Linked DNA regions of Schizosaccharomyces pombe. Changing the gene in region 1 together with any one later gene gives a genetic interaction. Each region holds a gene or a part of one and is shown on either strand. Other genes may lie near its edges. The genes, in order: cgs1 and php5.

Region 1 (5,204 bases):
TAATCCGCAAAAAGAAACTAGTCGTAGTAAAACTCATACTTCCCGAGGAGAAAATGTAGAGGATCGACCACAATCCTTACTTCAAAATGGCATTCAACCTATCATTATGCGCGATGGGAAACTTGCTTTGAACCCCGAGTTTTTCAAGAATGCAAATGGAGAGCAACAGGCTCCCAACGAGCAAGCCGTTCAAGCAATTTCACTACTCCAACAGCACATTAATAAGCAGCTAGGACCTGCCGCTGCCAACAACCCGGAGCAAGCCACAGCGATTGCGAATGCTCTCGCTGTGGCTTTAGCCCAAAAACTTCAAAAGCAGCAAACGCAAATGCAAGGGCCCCAACAAGTGCAACAACAGGCAAAGCGTCGTAAAGCTTATACTTCACAGCAACTTAATCCGGCGCCGACTGCAATGCCGCACCCTAACATAACATCACCGTCTCCTAGTATCTCAGTCACTCAACGTCCTGCAGTAAACGTTGGACCACCTCCATATGTTAGGCCATCTGCTCCTTCGAAGTTACCAGATACACGCCAGAGTATTGGAGACCCGTTACCCCCAGGAGCAATGGCTAATGTGTCCGCGGGGCCATCGTCAGTTCGATCATCGTCGTACAACTCCACTGCTTCTGAAAGCAAATCAGAGATAACAAGCCATCAAAATCTACACACCATACCAATAAACAAACCATTCACTTCTGATCGGCCTTTATACTCTTCGCCTAATGATACTTTAGAGAGAGTTGAAACAGGCAATCAAGGACAAAGGATGAATTCCATTGGAAATGCATCAAGCTTTAGTAAAAGAGATATAATGGAAAACGAAAATGGATCTTTTGATACTAATGCAAAGAACGGAAACAATGTTGACGACTCATCTTCAGTAAGGGGCATGAATTTACCATCAAACTCAAGCGACGCTTTACGAGGAGTAAAGCGACCGTTGGACGAGACATCATCCTCTTATACCTGAATTTACTAATGCTCATGCACGTAACGTTGTTGATGACTTCTTAATTAATACATTAGTGCCGAAAATTACACTTACCAGCATGCATAAGCTGTTTCATTTTTCTTTTTTTGACAGTGATTGCACAACTTGGTCTTTGGGTGGTTTCTACTTTTATTTCTCATGTGTTTAATGTTTACCTTAGTTAATACTTTACATAATAAATTGCCGTCTGGTTTTATTTCATTTAATAAGCATTTTCGTTTTCTTGTCGAAAAAGTTAATAGCAAAGCAGGAAGGGTATGGAGGATTCGCTTTTGTTATCTGTGAACATTAGCGATTCCTTATTTACGTTTTCATTGAAACCTTTGTTTAGCCAATACAGAAAGCATATTTACTTCAATGATTGTTTTTATAGCACTTTTAATAAGACCAAAACTATTATTGTTGTAATCCTGTCGGGCAAGCTCTCTGATCTGATAGACTTCAAAAGTTACATTGAATTTGTTTTGAAAACAAACAACTCATATTCAGCGATTCTAATTTCTTACTATAGATGTATATTTATCATATCACTTTTCCATAGACCGCTCACTATTCATTTCTTAACTAACTTAACTCACGGATGTACAAGAAGCTTCACAAAATAATATACCGAAACACTGGAAAACGCAAGCTATGTTGCATCGTCAAACATTCTACTCTCTATTTTTTTATGCGCTTCGATAAACCCCATATTATGGAGTCAGGGCATTGCGTAGTACATTTTATGACGTATGAGTGAGCTAATGCAGGCATCCATCCATTTTAGTCCAACGCCTCAGGTAGACTTTAAACATACATCTCAACCGTAACAAACGAAGGTAAATAACTGATTTGTATAGCTGAATTCAGCTCTTTTATTTTGGAAAATTTACCTCTTGTGGTTGATTAAAGTGTCAGGAAAAGCTGAAGCGAACAAAAACCGCGAGATTGTGATTCACTGAGAGTAAGAAACAAAAAACCGCATTTTTTGAAAGAAAGGCACGTAAACTTTAGGAGACATGTCTTTCGAAGAAGTATATGAGGAGCTAAAAGCCCTTGTTGATGAGCAAAATCCTTCAGATGTACTTCAATTTTGCTATGACTTTTTTGGAGAAAAGCTGAAAGCTGAGCGCTCAGTATTTCGTCGAGGTAAGTAGATGCTTCTGGATAGCTATGTTTAGTGGAGAGGAAAAGTAAATGATGGTCAATATGGGTTCTTTTTTGTGGTTTTTTACTTTGTTTTGCTCTATAGTAAGTATTTTCTAAATTTAGTCAGCAAACAGCAATTATGATTCCTGGCTGTTAATAATTCCACAAAGTTGTTTAAGGACCCTGTACCCATTTAATCTCCCACTCTATACTACACAAATTTTACCCTTTTTTGTTTTATCATGTTAACAAATTTCTCTTTTAGGCGACACCATTACAGAGTCTTTTAGCGACGGAGATGAAAGCGATTTCCTGTCTGAGCTCAACGATATGGTTGCTGGCCCCGAGGCAATTGGTCCGGATGCCAAATACGTTCCTGAATTGGGAGGATTAAAAGAAATGAACGTTTCATATCCGCAAAACTACAATCTGTTGCGTCGCCAATCTGTTTCCACTGAGTCGATGAATCCTAGTGCATTTGCACTAGAGACCAAACGAACCTTTCCTCCGAAGGATCCTGAAGATTTGAAAAGACTAAAGCGCTCAGTTGCTGGGAACTTTTTGTTTAAGAATTTGGATGAAGAACATTACAACGAGGTTCTGAACGCTATGACTGAAAAACGGATTGGAGAGGCTGGTGTTGCTGTCATTGTCCAAGGAGCAGTTGGAGATTACTTTTATATTGTGGAGCAAGGTGAATTCGATGTATACAAAAGGCCCGAACTAAATATTACCCCTGAAGAAGTGCTTTCGAGTGGTTATGGTAACTACATAACTACGATTTCTCCCGGTGAATATTTTGGAGAGTTGGCACTCATGTATAATGCTCCACGAGCTGCATCGGTGGTCTCCAAAACACCAAATAATGTAATTTACGCATTAGATCGTACAAGTTTCCGTCGTATCGTATTTGAAAACGCATATCGCCAGAGGATGCTGTATGAAAGCCTCCTTGAAGAAGTTCCCATTCTCTCAAGCCTTGACAAATATCAACGACAAAAAATTGCCGATGCTCTTCAGACAGTCGTGTATCAAGCCGGTAGCATCGTTATTCGACAAGGCGACATTGGTAACCAGTTTTATCTGATAGAGGATGGCGAGGCTGAAGTAGTGAAGAATGGCAAAGGCGTAGTCGTTACCCTAACCAAGGGAGATTACTTTGGTGAACTAGCTTTAATTCACGAAACAGTGAGAAATGCGACGGTACAGGCAAAAACTCGCCTGAAACTTGCTACATTTGATAAACCTACATTTAATAGACTACTTGGTAACGCGATCGATTTGATGCGTAATCAACCTCGTGCCAGGATGGGAATGGATAATGAGTATGGTGACCAATCTCTTCATAGGTCACCTCCATCAACTAAAGCATAAAATTTCTATAATCTGTTTTCTTTGAAACTATCTTTGTAATAATGACCTGTCATGATATGCTAAAGAATTTCCCTGTTGTTTGTTTGCCTTCTAACTTTTTCATATTGGTCATGCATGCATGTGATTGTTTACCATTATCCCTGGAATAATTTACTTATTCATGTTGAACATGTTTTGTTTGGATTACTTATCTAATTCAGCATTATATGTGATAATGTATATATACGTATTATTCTTTTTTATTTCTTTGAAAACCTTTATGTCTTGTTCTAGCATGGCACTGGATATGGTTTGTTAATGTTTTAATTCCAATTATATTCGTGATTACCACTTCACTGTTCTTATTTTGTTTTTTTTTTTCTTTTTGAAATTTCCTTTTTTTTTTATTATTTTTATCTGTCGAATATCGCAGCATTTGATGTTTGGAAGCTTACCGTTTAGTTTGTGTTTTTTTTTTCGTACGGATCATGACAGTTATTTTATCGTTCTCTTCATCCTGTTTTTTTTTGTTTTTTAATCGATATTTGATATCGTCAAATATTTCTATCTATATGGAGAGTTCTTATATTTGTTTTTTGAATAATCACACACTCTTCAAAACAGCAGCTGCATTCAATAATGTACTTGGCATTGGAGTAACGCACATTATACAAGAATTACCGTGGTCCGTAAACACTTGCAAGCATGAAATACTTAGAAAGCTTTAGGCAGACGCTAGACGTGGGGAAAGGGATGAAGTGTTAAAAATTCAAGAGTGTGGATGTTTTGTATGCAAACTGAGTGAGTTCTCGGTTTTTGTAGTTACGTGACATAACTTTAAAAATTTTATGAGAAATTGACTAATATCAAGAATTGAGAATAGTTTTTTAATACAATACACAAAATTTTTACCAAGTTTTGAGTAAAGGGGTGCAAATTAGATGAAACTACAGTCTGCGATAAACGATACGTGTAACTAGGAGAATGCAAATTGTGTAAAAAACTTATAAAACGAATATCTTGTTAGACAAATAAATTCAGCAAAAAGCGAAAGGACTTTTATTCAATTATCAAATCCGTACGAAATGGGATACAAAAAATTTTAAAGAATACTCAATTTCGTACATTCAATGTTCTTGCGAACATAATAAATAAAAAAACGACTACAGTTGCGAACTATGCGTAAGGTTTTCTTAAACAAGAAAAATTTTTTTCCCCATATTCCATACTACATATTTACTGTGAATGTTCTTAGTAGGGTAGGTTATTCACAACAAGCACAACGGGTAGAAATGACAATTACTGCAGAATAAAGTTAAGCACTCGAGATAAATTGTAATATTAAGAAGATGATCAGCGAAGCAATGTTTTGGTAAAGAAATGTTTTGTTTTGTGTCTTACTTTCGTCTGAATTAACTTTGTTTACATATGCATTTTTTCACTCACATAACAGGGTTTCGTATAAATTCTAGTTACGCCAAGATTTACAACTTCTACCAACCACCAAACAAGAACGCAGAGCGTGTAAAAGTAGAACAAAAATTGAGTTGAATATGACCACGAATCCCGATATTGTTAAACAGACGAAAAATGAAATTCACCAAGTAACGTCGAGAGTCCAGGAGAAGCTGGATTCGAAAAGTACCAACGCGGTCGAGCAGAATAACAATTCTTCCCAGGCGTCCGTCACCAAGGATAACAAGAAGAAGGCCGCTAAACGCGCCAAAAA
Region 2 (5,257 bases), on another chromosome or scaffold:
CGATATATAAGGGGTTCCTTTTTATCCACAGATTTATTTCTGATGGCCGAAATCGTCGTCTAAATTGATGAAAACTGATTATCTCGAATCGGTTAAAAAAGCAGTCACATGGACCATTTTTTGAATTAATATTTAATCGTTACGTTTCCTCTCAATGTTATGTTTGGCTTACTAGGGGAATTCGTTATTATCGACAAGTTTAGTCGATAATTTGTTAGCAGCGATGTCGCAACTGATAGTTTTAGCAACTTTTTTTACGTAGTTTTTTTCTGCAGAACAGAAGTTGCTTAAAAGCTAGTAGATGCCATTCGTTGTTGTTTGGGGGTAGATTAAAGAATTCTAAGCTTTAGTATAAGAATAATTTGTTTCTCCTCTTTCTGCCTATCTGTTGTTCATAATCAACTGCGTAGTTCTGGTGAAGGAGTAAATTAAACTGCCTCGCACCGCCGTACTCATTTTTACCTCGAGTATGGTGGCCGTGGAATGGTGGTTTTTTATGCAGTCGGGAATGAAAGCAGCTGTAATTTCCTTGCATAATGAGCCTAAATACCTTTTTACATAGAAGTTAAAATTTATGAGATTTTAAATTAAAAAATCATCAAAAGTGCAAATTTTCAAGTACATATACGAATAAATTTAATTATAAAGTAAACCTAAACGTTGTTTAAAGCTAATTGCTTCTTGGTAACCGATTGCAACATGCCATCATTTATTTACATTGACAACCCGTAAATATCCATAATAGGTAGAATGTTATCGACAATGAATTTCAAATGCATATATATGTTTAAGTAAAACAAAATACTCTACACTAGCAGTCCCGCAATGGGAAAATAAAGAGGCAGCAAATATGAAAAGCTTCCGTCATTTCTTTTTCGGTCTTGCTAAAAAAATAAAACCACACATAGCTTAAAAAAAGTAACAATGACTAGACATAGCATGTCATGAAAATCAACTGTTTCTTTAAGCTTTTGTAGATAAACCGAAAATTGACAAATTGAAAGTTCCACCTAAAAATGCATCACTGTTGGATCCTCCCAAATAATTTAATAGAAATTATTTAAATTGCATGTTCTAAATCAACAGGTATTAAAAGATATTACTGGGGTTGTTGCGAATAGCGAGAAAGAGGGTTTTGTTGCTGGGAAAACTGCTGATGCATTGGGTTTCCCTGACGCCCTTGCTGAGTTTGATACATCATAGCGTTTGGCTGTGAATAAAGTCTCTGTTGCTGATCGAATTGCCGAGGAGATCCAGGTCTTCTTGACATACCATATGCAGAAGGATCAAACATTTGAGACTGTTGCATATTAGGTCGCATATTACCTTGAAATTGGGGCATTTGATATCCCATAGGGGATGACTGCAATCGGAAAGCTGAGGATCCAGATTCGAGATGCGTAGGTGGATAACGGTATAAATGCTCAGCCATGTACGGTGCTACCATGACCGGTCTTTGCATATTCATCTGGTTAACATTTCCGGAGTTATCTGACATTTGTAGTTGTGGATATTCAGAGCCCAGACGCTGCTGTTTATACATAGATTGATCAATATCTTGCATTTGCTGCATTCTGGATGGATGAGAGGAATACTGCATTGAAGGCTGACTTGACTGTTGATTTGAAAATGGAAGTTGACTACCAGTTGGCATTGGAAACCCTTGATTGGGTAAGCCAGCTTGAGTGGGGAAAGGTTGTAAACCATTCATACCACCCATAGCAGCAACTTGAGTAGCAGACATATGAGCTTGACTGGAAGATGCGCGGGAATTATTGTTATCTTTAGATATAATATCAATTAAGAAATCATACATTTCAGATTTTGATACTGCATTTGCAATATCGGATCTTTGTAGTGTCCTTCGTTGATTTTTTTTGGCATGAAGCCAAGCCCTCATAGTAAGCTCTGCAATAAATATCTCACTTCCTTTAGCGAACAGAAAAGGAGCTTCTGCCGAGATCATTTTATTCTAAAAAAATTAGTAAAAGTTAATGTCAAAAAGTATTCGAATACTCAAAGTAACGTACCTTCACATCATCGTCAGTTTTCATAACTTTCTGCATAATCAATAGTTAGTAATTAATTCAGAAAAAGTGGCATACCTTAATACGAGCTAAGGGAAGATGCAGAGTTTTTACAGCTTGATCGTCATGTTCCAATGTATCGATGGTTTTTTGCCAATATTCAGCAAGGGCTTGTGCATCACTGCCAACAAGACCTTGAGTAACATTATCAAATGGACTAGCAACCTCAATGGGTGCACTAGCGTTGTAGTGATTGACAGCAGTTGGATCAACATCGGGGACTGGTTGTTGGAAGCGAGAAACAGAATCTTGACCATAACCTATCCGTACCTGAGAATTAGGATTGCCAGAGGGATCAACATATTCTCCTAAACCTTCGGGAAAGCCTTGTTTCAAGGAATAGGAATCAGGAATAGAATTCATTTTGCAATGAATCTTAATTGAAAAACGAAAAAAAGTCTACAGAAAGGCAATTTAGTTTAAAAAGAAAACTGGAAACGTAAAGGCCTTTGCCAATTAGATAAGAGATCAATGCAATCTCACTGGTGACAGGTTTAAAAAAACGACAATGACAAAAATTGTAACTATGCCGGGATCTAACAAATACCAGTTTCCTAAAAACAAAGCTGTTAAAGAAACTGACAATAATTTAAGCTAAAGAATTTCAAATCGAAAATCTAAATATTAAGAGGCGATAAAGATGCGGATTAAAGAAAACTTCCAATACCTTGATGTACAGCTTAACAAAATCGTAACCAAGATAAGTAGAAATAAAATAGAAAGGGAGCGGAGTAGTCTCCGGTAAAATGGGGAATTAAACTTATATGAGAGGTGAGCAGGAGACGAAACAGGGAAGTAAAACAAATTGACGTCAAGTTGAAGAGTGGAACGGAAAGAAAAAAATAAAAAGTTTTACAATCGAAAGGAACACGAACGGCTAAACACGAGGCTTAGTTGCAATATCTAAAAAGATAAATACCAATCGTCTTAATTCACGAAAAACTCGTAGAATGAGTAAGACAAAGCAACAAGTGCAGTTACTAACGTATCTCTAACACATTAACTTCTTAAAACAAAGAACTTCAATAAAGAACACTAGTAAAGCACCTTAACTCGTCGAAGTGTCTTGAATTATCTATGTAGCGTATTACACCTGGCTTAATTAAGTATATAGAGTGCAAAAACACTCAATATAGCGAAAATCGGTACGATTGAATTTATTGGTGGCTGGCAGAAGATGGTTGGCTGTCACACAACTTATTGATGGAACCGGTTTATAGTACCACATACTTTGTTTCTACAATTGCTAAAACACTTTAACGACACGTAAATATTCATTATTTGATATACATAATTAATGTTTTCGCGGTAGTAGATATAATACTATAAACAATAGCATGTGCAAATATTATTCAGTAATTAAAGCAAACAGAATAGAAAATACGTATAGTAATTGACTTCAATCCAGGAATTACATTAAAATACATCCTTGTTAATTGAATCTTACGCCTTTTTAAAGTCCTCGCAAAGATAAAGCTTACCGCGTTACAATTTGTTGGTCTTACAACAGTTCTTTAAACGTGAAAGAGTAATTGACCTTTATAAATAGAATTATTTTGAATGTAATAAATTCTTATTTTTTGTTTTATCATTATAATAGTAGGAATTAGAAAACACTTTCAAGTAGCTAGGTTTAGCATCTTTATAAATAAGTATGATTGAATAAGCAGAGATTAATTATTTTTAAGAAATTTAAATATATCGTTTTCAAATTAACCATTTGAGCCACAATCATCTAACTAGTTATTTGAAATATCATAAAAAAATCATTGCAGAAATCAGTTTGAAGCTGCTTAAGTCACTCATAATAACAACATAAAACACTTATTTGAAGGTTTGCACTTTACTATATGAGATGTTTGTTGCTGGTAATATCGTAAGCAACGATCAGCAAAAGTTCTGTTGTAGCGTTTGATTCAACTTTCCTGTTTGTAATTACCTTTGATTTAATAAGAAATTTCCTTTTTCTAAATACTGACTGATCTTATCATATAAATGCTTTGCTCTCAAAAGGCTTGGCTGCTTGAACCTGACCACTCATCCAATGCTATAAAATTCACTAGTTGTATAGGTGTCACCAAACAGTTTATTGAGATTAAACATTTAAAGCTTTAAAACTAATGAATCAGTTTTATTAAGCATTGGTAGCTTTTCTTTTCGTTTTGAGGAGAGTCCAGTTGTTAATGATAATTGCTGCTAGTTTTATATCAGATTTACAATCACGAAGATATCCTTCACTTCTTCATTTCAATCATTTTTTGTTTTTCTTTCATCTTAAGGCTAAGAAAGGATGCTATCACGATTCATTAAAAGAACATATAGCACTCAAACTTCTTCACCTGTAGTCGGCATCATCGGTTCTGGGCCGGCTGCTTTTTACACAGCCCACAGACTCTTACGAAATGACCCAAATGTCAAAATAGATATGTTTGAATCCCGCCCAGTTCCATTTGGGCTTGTACGTTATGGAGTTGCCCCAGATCATCCAGAAGTTAAGGTAAGTCTGTTAAGCCAAGAAATATTGATTGGTTTAAAAATGGATCTTATTAAATTTATTATACAGCTAACCTCTATTGTAGCATGTAGAACACAAGTTTTCCGAAATTGCTGAGTCTACACAATTTCGCTTCCTTGGTAACGTAAACGTTGGGACTGATGTTTCTTTACGGGATTTGACTAAAAATTATGATTGTTTGGTCCTTGCCTATGGAGCTGCTGGGGACAAGAGACTGGGAATTCCAGGGGAGGACTTGTCAGGTGTTTATAGTGCGCGAGAAGTGGTGGGTTGGTATAACAGTGATCCCAGAAATCAAAATCTTGAGTTGGATTTAAGTCAGGTAGAGGATGCAGTAGTTATTGGACATGGTAATGTTTCACTTGATGTAGCTCGAATCCTTTTAAGTAATCCTGCTCAATTATCCCCAACTGACATTAATCCATTGTTCCTCAAATCACTTGAAAGAAGCAATTTAAAAAGATTACACATTGTAGGAAGAAGAAACATATTTTCTGTCTCGTTTACTATCAAAGAATTGAGAGAACTGTTTGCCCTATCAAGTGCAGTTTTCTTTGCTCCTTCCTTTAATTATTCTACAAAGTGGATGAATGAAACAGATGCAAGCGGTTTGGATAGACCTAGAAAGAGATTGTTAAAGCTATTAGTTTCCGAA

What was found.
Region 2: of cgs1 (region 1) and php5, changing one suppresses a phenotype caused by changing the other (phenotypic suppression), as found in Schizosaccharomyces pombe (one study listed by BioGRID).

What each region holds. Positions count from the first base shown.
Region 1 is NC_003424.3:3,641,247-3,646,450, forward strand, and holds cgs1 (cAMP-dependent protein kinase regulatory subunit Cgs1), read left to right. Parts: upstream 1-1,782; 5' UTR 1,783-1,992; coding exon 1,993-2,122; exon of another isoform or gene 2,123-2,387; coding exon 2,388-3,496; 3' UTR 3,497-4,390; downstream 4,391-5,204. Other genes in the region: DNA-binding forkhead transcription factor for ribosomal proteins Fhl1, read left to right, coding at 1-973; SPOM_SPAC1142.09 (uncharacterized protein), read left to right, coding at 1,252-1,599; SPOM_SPAC8C9.04 (uncharacterized protein), read left to right, coding at 5,029-5,204.
Region 2 is NC_003423.3:3,393,251-3,398,507, forward strand, and holds php5 (CCAAT-binding factor complex histone fold subunit Php5), read right to left. Parts: upstream 3,257-5,257; 5' UTR 2,451-3,256; coding exon 2,106-2,450; exon of another isoform or gene 2,061-2,105; coding exon 2,031-2,060; exon of another isoform or gene 1,973-2,030; coding exon 1,100-1,972; 3' UTR 654-1,099; downstream 1-653. Other genes in the region: mitochondrial [2Fe-2S] cluster assembly NADPH-ferredoxin reductase Arh1, read left to right, coding at 4,378-4,584, 4,667-5,257. UniProt on the Schizosaccharomyces pombe protein: Component of the CCAAT-bound heteromer, php5 is essential for DNA-binding activity. It is essential for transcription activation of cyc1. It is the linchpin that binds to the subunit association domains (SAD) of php2 and php3 to bring these proteins together.